3 linked regions of the Kluyveromyces lactis genome follow. The protein of the gene in region 2 interacts with the protein of the main gene of each other region in a biochemical or structural test. Links are inferred from orthologs where the notes say so. Each region holds a gene or a part of one and is shown on either strand. Other genes may lie near its edges.

Evidence for each region.
Region 1: the proteins of EAF1 (region 2) and TRA1 are reported together in a solved structure, tested with the Saccharomyces cerevisiae proteins (2 studies listed by BioGRID, with this or other methods). The link is inferred for Kluyveromyces lactis from reciprocal best matches to the Saccharomyces cerevisiae genes EAF1 and TRA1.
Region 3: the proteins of EAF1 (region 2) and EPL1 are reported together in a solved structure, tested with the Saccharomyces cerevisiae proteins (2 studies listed by BioGRID, with this or other methods). The link is inferred for Kluyveromyces lactis from reciprocal best matches to the Saccharomyces cerevisiae genes EAF1 and EPL1.

What each region holds. Positions count from the first base shown.
Region 1 is NC_006042.1:2,059,528-2,063,464, forward strand, and holds the start of TRA1 (histone acetyltransferase TRA1), read right to left. Parts: upstream 2,801-3,937; coding exon 1-2,800. UniProt on the Saccharomyces cerevisiae protein: Essential scaffold subunit of the transcription coactivator SAGA complex. SAGA acts as a general cofactor required for essentially all RNA polymerase II transcription.
Region 2 is NC_006041.1:1,912,888-1,917,048, reverse strand, and holds the start of EAF1 (Eaf1p), read right to left. Parts: upstream 2,801-4,161; coding exon 1-2,800. Other genes in the region: protein-transporting protein BCP1, read right to left, coding at 3,300-4,118. UniProt on the Saccharomyces cerevisiae protein: Component of the NuA4 histone acetyltransferase complex which is involved in transcriptional activation of selected genes principally by acetylation of nucleosomal histone H4 and H2A. The NuA4 complex is also involved in DNA repair.
Region 3 is NC_006042.1:2,337,832-2,341,973, forward strand, and holds EPL1 (Epl1p), read right to left. Parts: upstream 2,801-4,142; coding exon 380-2,800; downstream 1-379. Other genes in the region: BST1 (Bst1p), read right to left, coding at 1-50; BUD27 (prefoldin-like protein), read left to right, coding at 3,555-4,142.

The sequences.
Region 1 (3,937 bases), on a different chromosome or scaffold from region 2:
CCAAAATCGGGTCTAGATACTCTGGAGTTAGATTGTCGATACATAACTCCAAAGTCCTTAATCCTTGAGTTATCAATTCTGGAAATCCAACCAAGGCATACACTAATGGCTTCATTAGATAATTCAAATATGGTGCCAATACACTAAGCCTCACAGGCACAGTGAGACAGAGCTCCACATACAAATCGCGTTCGTGAGGGCGACAAGCTGTCTGGATCATCTTATTGAGGGACTGTAGAAGAGTTTGAAGTATTGGTTTTATTGAACGATACAAGTTTTCAAATCTGCCGCCACCAATACTTCTGAACAATGTTCTTATCAAATAGAAATACACCAAAGGCTCTTCAGCCTCTGTCGAATACTTCAAAGAATCTAAAATCAAATTATTCAAGTGAGGTAACAAGACCGCCTCATTGGTAATAGGGAAGAGATTGACAGACATGAATGATAGCTTGAATAGTCTGATGAGTATATTTGATTTGTTACTGTCCACATTCCCTAGTTCTGGAAGTTTGGAATTCAAGAACTTTAGAAGAATACCGGTGAAATTGGGAGATGTGATTTCACTTGTCAAGAATGATTGAGCAACATGCAACAAAGCTGAATCGCGTAGTAAAGATTCGTAGATAAAGACGATTTCACTCTCAACGATTTCATTGAAGACAGGACTGTCGATTTGCATGAAAATAATAGCGAAATAATCCATCAACTCTCGACCATCTTTAGTTGCTGACACAGGTAAGCTAGGTGTAGTTATATCGAAGTGTGCTTTTACTGTGGATGGATCAATGCCCTCTGGATTAGAAGAAAATAGATGTAGACCAGCTATACATTCATGGAACAAATTCTTCAACACGATCACCTCTTCGTAGGAAAATACTCTTGATAATGCAGACCACATTTTCGGATTCATTGTAGTATATTCATCTGGGGGTGGGTTAAAAACCTTCAAGTCATGAATAATGGTTTTCAGAAATGAAAGAAGAGTACGATATAAGTAAAATGCGTCCTTAAGAGGATCATTTGACGTCGCTTGGAAGAGAATTATTGGAGCATGATTTTGTATATCATTGAAGTCCAATATCTCAACTGAGTTTTCTTTGAACGATATATCCGAATTTTTATCTTGATTCTTTACAGTCAGTGATGTGTTATTATCACTATGCACCGAACTGTTACCTTTCTCTGATATATCAGGTTCTTCGCTCATAGTAATATCACCATCGACGTCGGCATTGGTATCAACAGTAACTGATGACGGTAACAATTCGTCTGTTGATTTCAAGATGTTAACCATATATTCATCAACATCGTGCCTGTCTTTCGCAAGTTGATCTTGGATCTCCTTAGATTTCTTATTTTTACTCTGTTCGTAGACATTATGTTGTTTTAATATCTTCTTATGCTGTGAATTTAATAGCTTGAATCTTGAAGTATAAGCCTCTATAATCGTCATTAGTAGCTTTTTGGCCTTAGGAACTTCATATGCGTCTTTCTTACCTAAAGTTAAAATCCGTTCTATTAAATTCAATAGTAGCTTAGCACTCATAATTTGCACAGTCAAAGCCAAAGACTCATCCAAAAGAAAACTGGTGTACATTTTAACAGTTTTTTCTATGTCAGCCATTGCCAAATCTGACCGAATATTATGAATGAAATCTGCAAGGGTACTGTACGCTAATGGTCTCAAGGTTTCATATGAAGTGAATCCATCACCAATCAAGACTTTTTGGTCAAACATCAAATTGATCTTGGGTAGAAACAATTTCTTATAACTTGTAGAGAGAATATGTCTCGTAGCATGTAATAATTCTTTACGTGCAGATGATAATTCACTTGGGCAGTCCTGTAATAATCTCATCACCAAATCTGGGACTTTCTTGACGTGTAGTTTCAAAATATCTGTAGCATAACCGCGAATAAACACATACGCTAAGAAAGAAGTTGCCTTGATTTGAGCTAGGACATAATCACAGAATGCAGAGCGGTTTTTGATTTCTGACGACATCCCAATAAGTTTTTCACCTTTAGCTTCTAGTTCTTCTCTGGATTTTTGCTGTTGTTTCACTTCCAAAGTGAGTAAGTCAATGACGAGTGGTAAAAAAGTCGGTAAGTCTACTAAAATCAAATGTTTATATGATGAAAATAAGGTCACCATTGTAATTGGGCATTCAGACAAAGTCTTGAATGATTCTGTAGCTTTTTCCAAATGTTTCTTGGACGGTGCAGACAAGTTTTCGAAAGCATCCTCCTCATTATTAGAGTTCGAAAAATCTTGTGAATCTGCAGTTGATGAGCTGGTTTCTTCTTCACCAAGGAAAGTAGATGCCACCAAGTTCGGTACGTTTTCATATATTCCAACGATAATTTTAATGAACGTATTCACTTCACTTTCTAATGGCTGCTTATAGCATTTGAACAACGAAGTGAGGATCTTCATACACAAGACACCATTTTCATCGTTTTCTAAGGTTAATATTTTTAACAGGCATTGCAGCACTTCCATGGCCATAGGTTCCATTTTATCGTTAAGTGGACATCTATTCAAAAGTTCTAGACATGTATTTCTCAACTTGTGTTCAGGAGATGAGGCATTCATTGAGATTTGATCATCATTCAACTGTGATAAAATGAGCGGCAACAACTTCTTCAAAAACTCATCGTATTCGACTGAAGAAGTTACAACATCCAAAACATCGTAAAGTTCTGATATAATGGCATGTCTTTCAGCAACATCTTCAGTATCCCTGATTCTTTCGACAAAAGTGTCCATTCTCTCATGAGTATCAGTTGATTCCATTGCTTATAAGTTACAATCGTTGCAGCTCAGCTATATTGAATAAAGAATCAAATTGCAGACCGCGTCTTCCTTTGAAATTAATGAATTAGGGAGGATGCAAGTTGAAATAAAAGAACAAAAATGCGAAGCTAGCTGATAGAACCTGTTGTCTAGTGATAAGGCGCTATAATTGCTTTGGTGGTTGAAGTTCGTGTATTCGTTTGAAATCAATACTACGCTTTTGTTGGTTGAGAGTACAGATTTCAATGTCATATCGAAATTTGAAAACAATTGGTACCAAGAAAAACAATTTGAAAAACCTCTGTAGACCTTGAAAAGTTTTGTATCACGTGATGACATTCCTATTTAGGAAGTGATCACGTGCATGATCCGAATAACTTACCCGGCTATTAATTTTTCATTGAAAATTACGTATTTGTTTTATTCTTTGCCATCATCAACAGAAAAATACGCACGAAATGTGAACGTTACTCTAGCAGATAAGCGGACAGCCAATGTGCATAATTTTTTGAGTGTCGAAAGATAGAACAATGGCGAAGGGTAAGTAGCGCTCACGATAACTCGTGTTTTTCACGGACAACATCTTATTAAAACAAGTACAACATAATCGTCGATTAAATTCAAGGCGGCTAACTTAAACGAATATCGTTTTTACTTACCAACTCGAAAAATGAGGCAATACCCCCCCTTTAGCTATTACTGGAACCATTAACTGCTTCTATTGATTGGACTGTGTGACGTAATCTGTGTGCATAAATTCACAGTTCACAAAGATCTACATACGGTTCTCAAAAAAGGGTTCATTCGGCCAGCACCGTACAGCTCTAATTAAGATTCGACAATTTTGTAGCGCTTCCCTGATAACCAGGTGATAGATTGTTTTACATTGTACCTTACAAATTCCTTCAAGAATTTAACTCTATCCTTGAAAAGGCGCTGAAAGTAGCTCTACTACGTTGTTTTGTTCTTCTTCATCTCCATTTCGAAAGCCTGTAAAACCAGAAGTACGCCTTGCATTCATGTTTTTTCAACCAAGGCTCAGAGTGTGGCGTGAAATTCACAGATCATCATGTAGAAAAAATATCCTTTTCCATCACTTTTTGCATCACATTTGGTAAAGAATCCCGTACCAAATGG
Region 2 (4,161 bases):
CAATGATTTCACGTTTATTAGCCGGTTTCGTATTTCTCTGTGTGGGAGTTTGAGTTGTAACCTTTTCTTTTTCACCTAGTGGTGGTGCACTCTGGGGAGTGGACTGCTTAGACCTAATTCTTGAATCCTTTGAGTTAGGATTATTTGCCATAGGCAAATTCGGACTTGATGCTGTAGTGAGAGGAAGCTTTCCTTGCTGCAATTGAGCCATCTGCATCCTTTGTTTGGCAGCACGTTTTATTTGCATATCCCTTCTCAAGGCCTCATCACGCTGAGCTTTTAAGTCTGACATTTCTTGAGGGGTTGGAACACTCATATTCTTAACATCAAAAGGTTTACGCGGCTGCGAAGGATTTGGTCTGGGTGCGTTTTCTCTTTTTTTAATGCACTTTCTCATTGCCTCAAACATACTTGCCCAGCGTAAACGCCTATGTCCTCGTTGTATGGATTCCGATCCCACACCAAGGGGAGATATTCTCCTTTTTTGCTGCTGCTGTAATTTATGAGCTTCGTACAACCATATTTGTGCATTATGAGCCTTTGGACCCTTCATATCTGCAATGTTGAACTTTTCGTTTAGTTGAACGAACCGCTCAAAGCATTGCCAAGGGGTTCTACGTTCGATGTTTGAAACATATTCTCTTTTGTGATGATTGGACATCTGAGAACTAATGAGGTCCCAGTTATAGGCATACTGGTTTATATTTTTGACAAGCTCCTGATCATCTTCAGGTAACCAGATGGTGGGTGTACGAAATTTCAAATAGCGTAATGATGGCGCATTAGGAGGGCGAAGATAATGGCTACGTCTATTTCCATAAAACATACCACGTCGTTTTGATAAAGGAACTAGAGATGGTTCTTCGTCAACAAATTGCTTTTCTACTAATTTCATGAAATGGTCCTCGTCAAGAGGAGAAATTGCCTTTGAAACCGGTTCAAAGGGCAATGGTCTGCTAGAATCGAGATTCTTTTCGTCCAAAAGACCATACAAAGGGAGTGAGTTTGAAATGGCTGCTCCCAGTGTTGATAATTCCTTTATATCAATGTAATTCCTGAAGGGAGAGGATGATTTCTTAGCTAAATAAACTTCCATGGAGGTAACCGGAAGAGATGGAGCGACGATTTCATCTTTGGGGTTAACTCTCTTTAGTAACTTTTGTATGTCTATGGTAGGCTCTTCAGATGAGTTTTTATCAGTTTCCTTGTCCCCCTCTTTGATACCATTTTCAGACTTCTCTTCCACCGCTTCACTCCCATCAGTTAAACCGGTACTTGATTTTACACCATCCTCTGACATCTCCACATCTTCAGCAATTTTAGAAGACCCATCATCGTTGGATTGATCAGGACTTGTGTTTGATTCTTTATCTTTTTGTTCTGGCTCAACTGTACTGATTTTTGTTCCCATATCTTGGGAGGAAGCAATATCTTCTATGTCCTTTGATGGCGGTGGAATACTTTTACAATTGATACAGCATACTTTACCATAAGTCCAAAATTCCATAACTGCCTGTGCCATTTGAGTGCACATGGCTATCTTATAATTCAACGATTCACGGAAGTCTTCACGCATCCATTTTGCTTCTTCAATCAACACATTATGATGAGTTACAGGTTGTGAAGCGGTAACGGGATCGATAAATTTTCTTGGTTGTCTAAGTGACCAGAGATTCAGCCTTCTCAATTCCTCTATCCTTGATGCTACTACAGTGATTCGTCTTTCATTCAATGCAGTATTAATCAGATCAGTCGTCAATGCTTTTTGAGATTGTGGTATCAATCTCAGCAAGGGCAAAGTCTGGGATAAGTATTTGATTTCTTGAATGGGCATACCCTTTGCCAACTTGGTTGGCGCGTTCTCTTTCGTAATCATGTATACCGCCTCTTTCACATTTATGTCATCTTCGAAAAACGTCTTACGCTCTTCCTTTGATACATTGTTGATAATAGATTCTATAATATAGGGTTGAGGTTCTTTCACCCCAATTGGTGTTGGGTCAGCATGCAATTGTGAGATGTCTATCATCTGAGAATAAGGATGAGGCGGAATTTCCATTGTTGCAGCGTTACGTGCAGCGGTAGAATTAGATAGGTTTCCACTATCAAGCCGTTGCCTTTTACTTATTTGATTTTCGGAAATATCTTGTTGTTCCTCATCTAACAAACGCTTTCCAGAAGTACTTGGCTTTGATTGGGTCTCCGGATATTGGACAGATTTCGGTTCCATATGTGCCTGAACTACCACAGGAGGAACATTATTATGTGTTATCGGCAGCTTCTGTGTGGGAGACACCGATCGCTGCTTTTGCAGTTGTTGCTGCTGCAGCTGTCGAGATGACTGCGCTTGCACCATAGATTGCCTTGAACTTTGCTGAATTGACTGCTGTGACTGAACTCGTGGAACTACCCTTGTTTGAGACTGCGGGAGTGTCTGCGTATCCACATCATGTTCCTCGCTTCCACTTGGCGACACGTCTTTCGACCGCTGTTTCTTCAATTCTCGTTTCACTTCTGACGGTGAAGAACTCTTACTCCTGTTATTCAGCTTCCTATCTGACGACACGTCTCTCGGCCTAAACTTAGGCAATGCATTAATATCTATAGGCTTGTCCTTGATCAAGGTATGTTGATCTAAAAACTTTTCTATCTCCTTCCCTATTCTCTCATGATTCTCCACGTTTTTTAACTCGGTAATTTGTGAGATACAGTACAATTGTACTAGCAAGTGCCGTCTCTCCTCTAAGAGCTGCTCTGGGCTCTTACTTCCAGTAGCATTCCCTTTGCTTGCACTGCTCATCGCCTTGAAATCCTTACTTTCTATTAGATGTTCTGTGAATATCTGTCACGTTGAAAAAATATAACTTTCGGTCTGAATGGCAAGTGATAGGAAAATATCCAAAAAAAAAAAAAGGAAACTGGGTCCTCTGATTTTTCTTTTAGCGAGGGCTTGTCTCGGAAACAGCACGCTTCTGTACAAACAACAGGATCGTCCAACCAAACAAGGCTTTTCTGTGTCAGGTACTTTTGAAACTGAGTCGAATAGTGTTCTCACGGTCCTGTTCTGTTACCGTATTACGGCTTGTTTTCTCGATTTCTACTATATAAGTACGTATTTCATGTTGTTCAGCAATTTTTTTGTTCCTTGAAAGATTTTTTTTTCTTTTGGGAGGCCGAAATCATGTAAGGAGGGTAACTAAAGATCAGGTCACGTGCGTTAATTGTTGGGTTCCCAGAACGGGATTAATCCACATACCATCATCACCTTCCTCAATGTAACTACTGAACATTTACATCACTCACCAGGTCTTGATGGCCGCATCTAGATCTTCGATGGATTTAATTAGTCCAGCATGGTCCAAAACCATGTACGATGTAATAAGACCCTTTCTCGCCTCGGAATCCACATGGACTTTGGCTAGCTTTTCAAGGAAACGATCTTCTTCATGGAAATAGTCTACTTCGTTTGTTTGTCTTACCTTCTTGCGGACAGCTTGGTTCGATGTTAGATCGTCTTCGTCCATATCAAAATTCACTTCGTACTTCCTTGAAACGATTAGGTAGAAATCATAGTTTTTATCATCCCCAAGCGCAAGCTTCACATCTTCTAATGTGATAGTGTACAATGGCGGCACAACTTCTGGTGGCATATTAATCAATCTTTCACTCAAGACTAACGAACAAGTCTTCTCCGATTGATCTATAGTTTGTAGGAAAGTAGCTAGCTTGGGGTCAACTTTACGAAGATATTTGGCATAATCACTATCTTTGTTGGCCTTGTAATCGATAAATGATAGGAAACAGTATGGGTCAGACTCCTTACCATCGGTTTTGATGGTAGTAGTTGGTGAGTCCAAGATTAAATTTGCCAATTCACTTAGTTGAATTCTGTTCGATTCCTGTGGTCCAAACAACTGACGCATCAGATTCTTCAAAGCATGGAAATCAACGTCGGGATTACCATTGAAGAAATCAAAATCGATGTTGATGATTTCTTGTTCCTCTTGACCGTTTTCTTGGTCTGAAATATTTGAGTCTGTACTTGATATGTCAAGATCAGATTCCTCATCGACTGCACGTTTCTTGGATAATGCACTTAATTTAACAACCTGGACCATTGCAGACTAAAATAGAGTGTTGTTGCTGGTTTAATAAAGCCCA
Region 3 (4,142 bases), on a different chromosome or scaffold from region 2:
GGATACCTGATGCGAACAGCAGACTCAGCCGGTAAGTCAATTTGGACCATTTTAACAACTGGCTTGGTAAACCACTACCAGTATCCTAGGTATTATTCTAAATTTAGTGTTCCTAGTGAATGCACTATTCTGGGCATAGTTCATCAATCAATGCTTGCAATGGTACATAATGTTAGATGCAAGATGCCGATTTTAGATGCGTAAACCAAAAAAAAAAGAAGCTGAAGTCAGTTCAGTCACGTGATGTATAATGCAGCTCACGATGCTTAATAACATGAATTATCTATATTGTTACAGATTCGCATAAGAATGCGGAAAATACTAATTACAAGTTCATATTTATAATGGGATTTGGTGTCATCAAAAGTTTACAATTTCGTTATGCAGCAGCGTTAGGAGTAACGTGTTTCTTTGGCGGACTGGACTGATTTGGAGTTGATCCTGGATTCTTCCTAGTGTCCTGATGAGATGGTGGGGAAGAGGACTGTGAATGAGGAGCATTGTTAATGGGCTGTTGACCCTTTTGTAGCATTTGCTGTTGTTGCAGGGAATTCAGTTTCTTTCTTTTGTTGATTTGTTCCTGTCTATATTTGATGGTGGCATCTCTTAGTTGCTCGTATGCTTTGGATCCTAACATGGTTCCAAATCTTACCACCTGAGTATCGTTTGAAATTTGGTTCAACTTCGCCGGTTCGTCGGAAAACTTGGACCCGTAAATGTTGTAATTGGAATCATATTTCCAGTGATAATATGACCTGGATAAATCATCCAGTTTAGAATCATACACATTTATAACATCATTATCGAGTTCTTGCTTCTGTATTCCATCCAAATCAATAAATTGTAATAACATGTCGTTAATATTGTGATCAGTTTTTCTTTGGTCAATATATTCCATATTGAAACGACCGCGACGGCGTCTGAAAGCGATTGGAAATTCACGAGAATGAGTATGAATCTCGTTATCAAATGGATTGAAAAATTCTAACTTTTTATACTCATTGTTCTCCACAGCTTCACCTTCCTTGTTAAAAACCTTTATATCATTCGCAGTGCCAGTGATATAATTTTGAAGATTAGGTGAATAGTAGGATGTTTTTACTTCGAACTTTGAGCCAGCAACAGAAGAAAATGGAGCATCTTGGGGGCTGACGTTATCTGGTATTGAAAGGTTGAAAACAGGATTGTAAGGATCATCAGTGAGGTTGAAAAAGATGTCACCATCTTCCTGTTTCCTTTTTCTCATCCTGTCTTCAACAAATTTCCTTGTGCTTTTTTCCTTTGAATGCAACAATTTACCGACATCTTCTAACACGATATCAGGTATCTTAGAGTTAGGCAATTTAACATATACTTGAGAAGATGCCTGTTTTTGCTGTTGTTGTACATTCGAGACATTGGCAACAGGCGACTGAGCTCCAATTTCCTGCGCAGATGACAGTGATTGTTCTTTGTTTTTATTTGAACCAGTTTTTGGGCCTTTCTTCTTTGGCTCGCTTCCTTTCTCATCAGCATATAGACCACTGTCTTCTTTGTGAAGTTTCGACGATTTTGAAGATTTTGCACGTTTAACAGATGAATCTGAAGTAATGGCTGCCTGCTGCTGTTGTAGTTGCTGTTGTTGCTGCTGTTGTATCTGTAGCTGTTTTTGAAGAAGAAGTTGTTGTTGTTGTTTGATTGTACGCACCGAACTCACGAGTTTTTGTTTCTTTGCCGAGTACAAATCCTCGTTATCGGCATCTATGCCTAACTTTCTCTTCATTGTCTTCAATTGGGCTCGCGCTTGGAAGACGAACTTTTCGTTTTCTAGGACTTCTAATACTGCTCTTTCTCTTTTGGCTACAGTGAGTGCCAAATCTTTAGTATATTCCAATTGTTGGCATAGAAGTCGCAATTTTTGTGAGTTCTGAACATCTATCCGCCTTGTTTTCCTAGGTTGTCGAAGCTCTCTCCTACGGAAACACACATATGGATCATTATCGTCTTTATCATTATTACGCTCCGATTTCAATTGTGGGAAGATATCGCAACCATGACGTGATATCTTGCGTTGCTTCCAATGATCGTGTATTTTCTCTCCGAACAATTCGATAAGAGTCTCCATATTTTTTTCCCTTTTACCTAGAGGTCTTTTATTGTCAAACATTGTCAAGAATGGTTCATCTTCAGGCATCCCAATTTCCTTCGCGAGTTCCTTTTTTACGCCAGAATCACCAACATCGTTTTTCAACATGGTTGGTTTTAGGTCTGCAAATGAAAGTATACTCTCGGGATCCATGGACAGGAAGGGTTGCCTATCTTTGATGGAAGACTCAAAGTTGGCCATAATTAATTCAAACTCATCTTCCGTTAGAGGTTCGACCGAATCCGCCAGGGATTTATTTAAATCTGCCAAAAAGATTTCGTCTTCTTCATCCATATTATACAAAGTACCACAGCAATCTTCTAATTGTGCAGAAAACTGGATATAACTCGTAGGACATTTGAATTCACCTTGGTAAAATCTGTCAAACTCGTCCCAAGTTTTCGAGGCGTCTGGTGTTGGAATAAATAGATCCTTCTTGTTCTCTCGAAGCTGATTGGATTGAAGAATTTTGTATAAATGCTCTTCCTTTTCTTCATTCTTCTCCACACCAGTTTCAATCTCCATCAGCTCTCGCTGTTGATGCTGGGAACTGATGGCCGAAACATCTTCTTGTTCCAAATCCTTAATTTCATGGCTCTTATAGATCCGAAGTCGTTGCTTCACGCTGATCTTTCTGTGCCTGAACCTCGATGAATCCACTGCAGGAGCTGGCATACTGCAATGTGTCAATGCCCGTGTGTAGTTACCCTGATAGCTATGCGGCTGAAGCCAAAGAAGGATCTTTGAATTCCAGATTTCAATAGCGAGAAATATGAAAGGAAGGGTAACTACAATTATCCCTCTAAAAAATTGGTTCTTTTACGGGGGCCCAAATTTATTTTCTTCCTGTTTTCGGGGCCAAATTTTGCGAAAAACTTCACTGGCAAGCAATCGGGTGGCGGTGAAGGAGGCAGAAAACAAGGAGACCAAATCTAAAATAGGACTGAAGATAGCAGCTATTGGTACGGATTTTGCAGAACTGATGAAAGTCCTTAAGTATCACTACTGATGGTTGATTCTCAGTAGGTTTGAACGAGCCACCGGACTGTTCTGAAGCGCGTGGTTTTCCTTTTTATGTTGGTTGTTTGGGTGGAACGCAACAGTTTGTCCGGTGAATGGGGGTATTGGTTTTTTCTATATTGAAATCCGAACTTATGGAAAGAAAAAAAAATTTTTTACGTCTTCTACGGAAATATGAACGTCTCCCATAACCACCTTGGTAGACAATAGGAATTTCTGTTCACGTGACTTCCATTGGGTCAAGGTAAATGGTGATGCCAAAAATTGTATGAGCTTCTACCAAAAAGAAAAAAAAACGGAAATCAGTAACTTGACATCCGTAATGAAGTCATCTCATCGCTTGTTGAAAGAGTGAGTTATCTGAGGCAGGTAAAGAGGCTGAGAAAATCAGTCTTAGTCGTGAAACGCAATGGAAACAGCAGAAGGTGGGGCTTCTTTTGCCGAGTTAATGGATACTGTCAAAGGTACCATAGATAATTTGGTAAACAAAAGAACCTTCTTAAAGGAACAGCAGCCGTTGTATGAACAGATATTCGATAGGATAAGAGATGCTGACACGAGCGAAGATTCGGAAGAAGAATGGCAGTATGGTGAGGTAGTATTTCAGAATGGTAAGTTTTTCCAAAATATAGGTTACGATTACTATTTGGAGAAATCTAGGGAAGAATGCCTGGTTTTTATAAAGGTTCGATTGAACTTAATTGCCGAAGCCATTTCACAATTTGATGAGAAACTGAAAGAGGCACATGGCACATTGCGAAACATGGAGTTACTTCGAGACGGTGCAAAATCTTTGGGAGATACGAATGTTTCTAACAATGATGATGACCAGGAAGGTTTCTTTGAGATCAGAGAAGAATTAGACGAAGACGGAAATGTGATACATGCTTCAATGACGCCCGCCAATAAGGTGCATTCGGGCAAAGGTAATGAAGTCCATAGTGATGAACAACAATTGTCACTGAGTCAGGAACGTCAAAATTGTCTTTCACCAGAG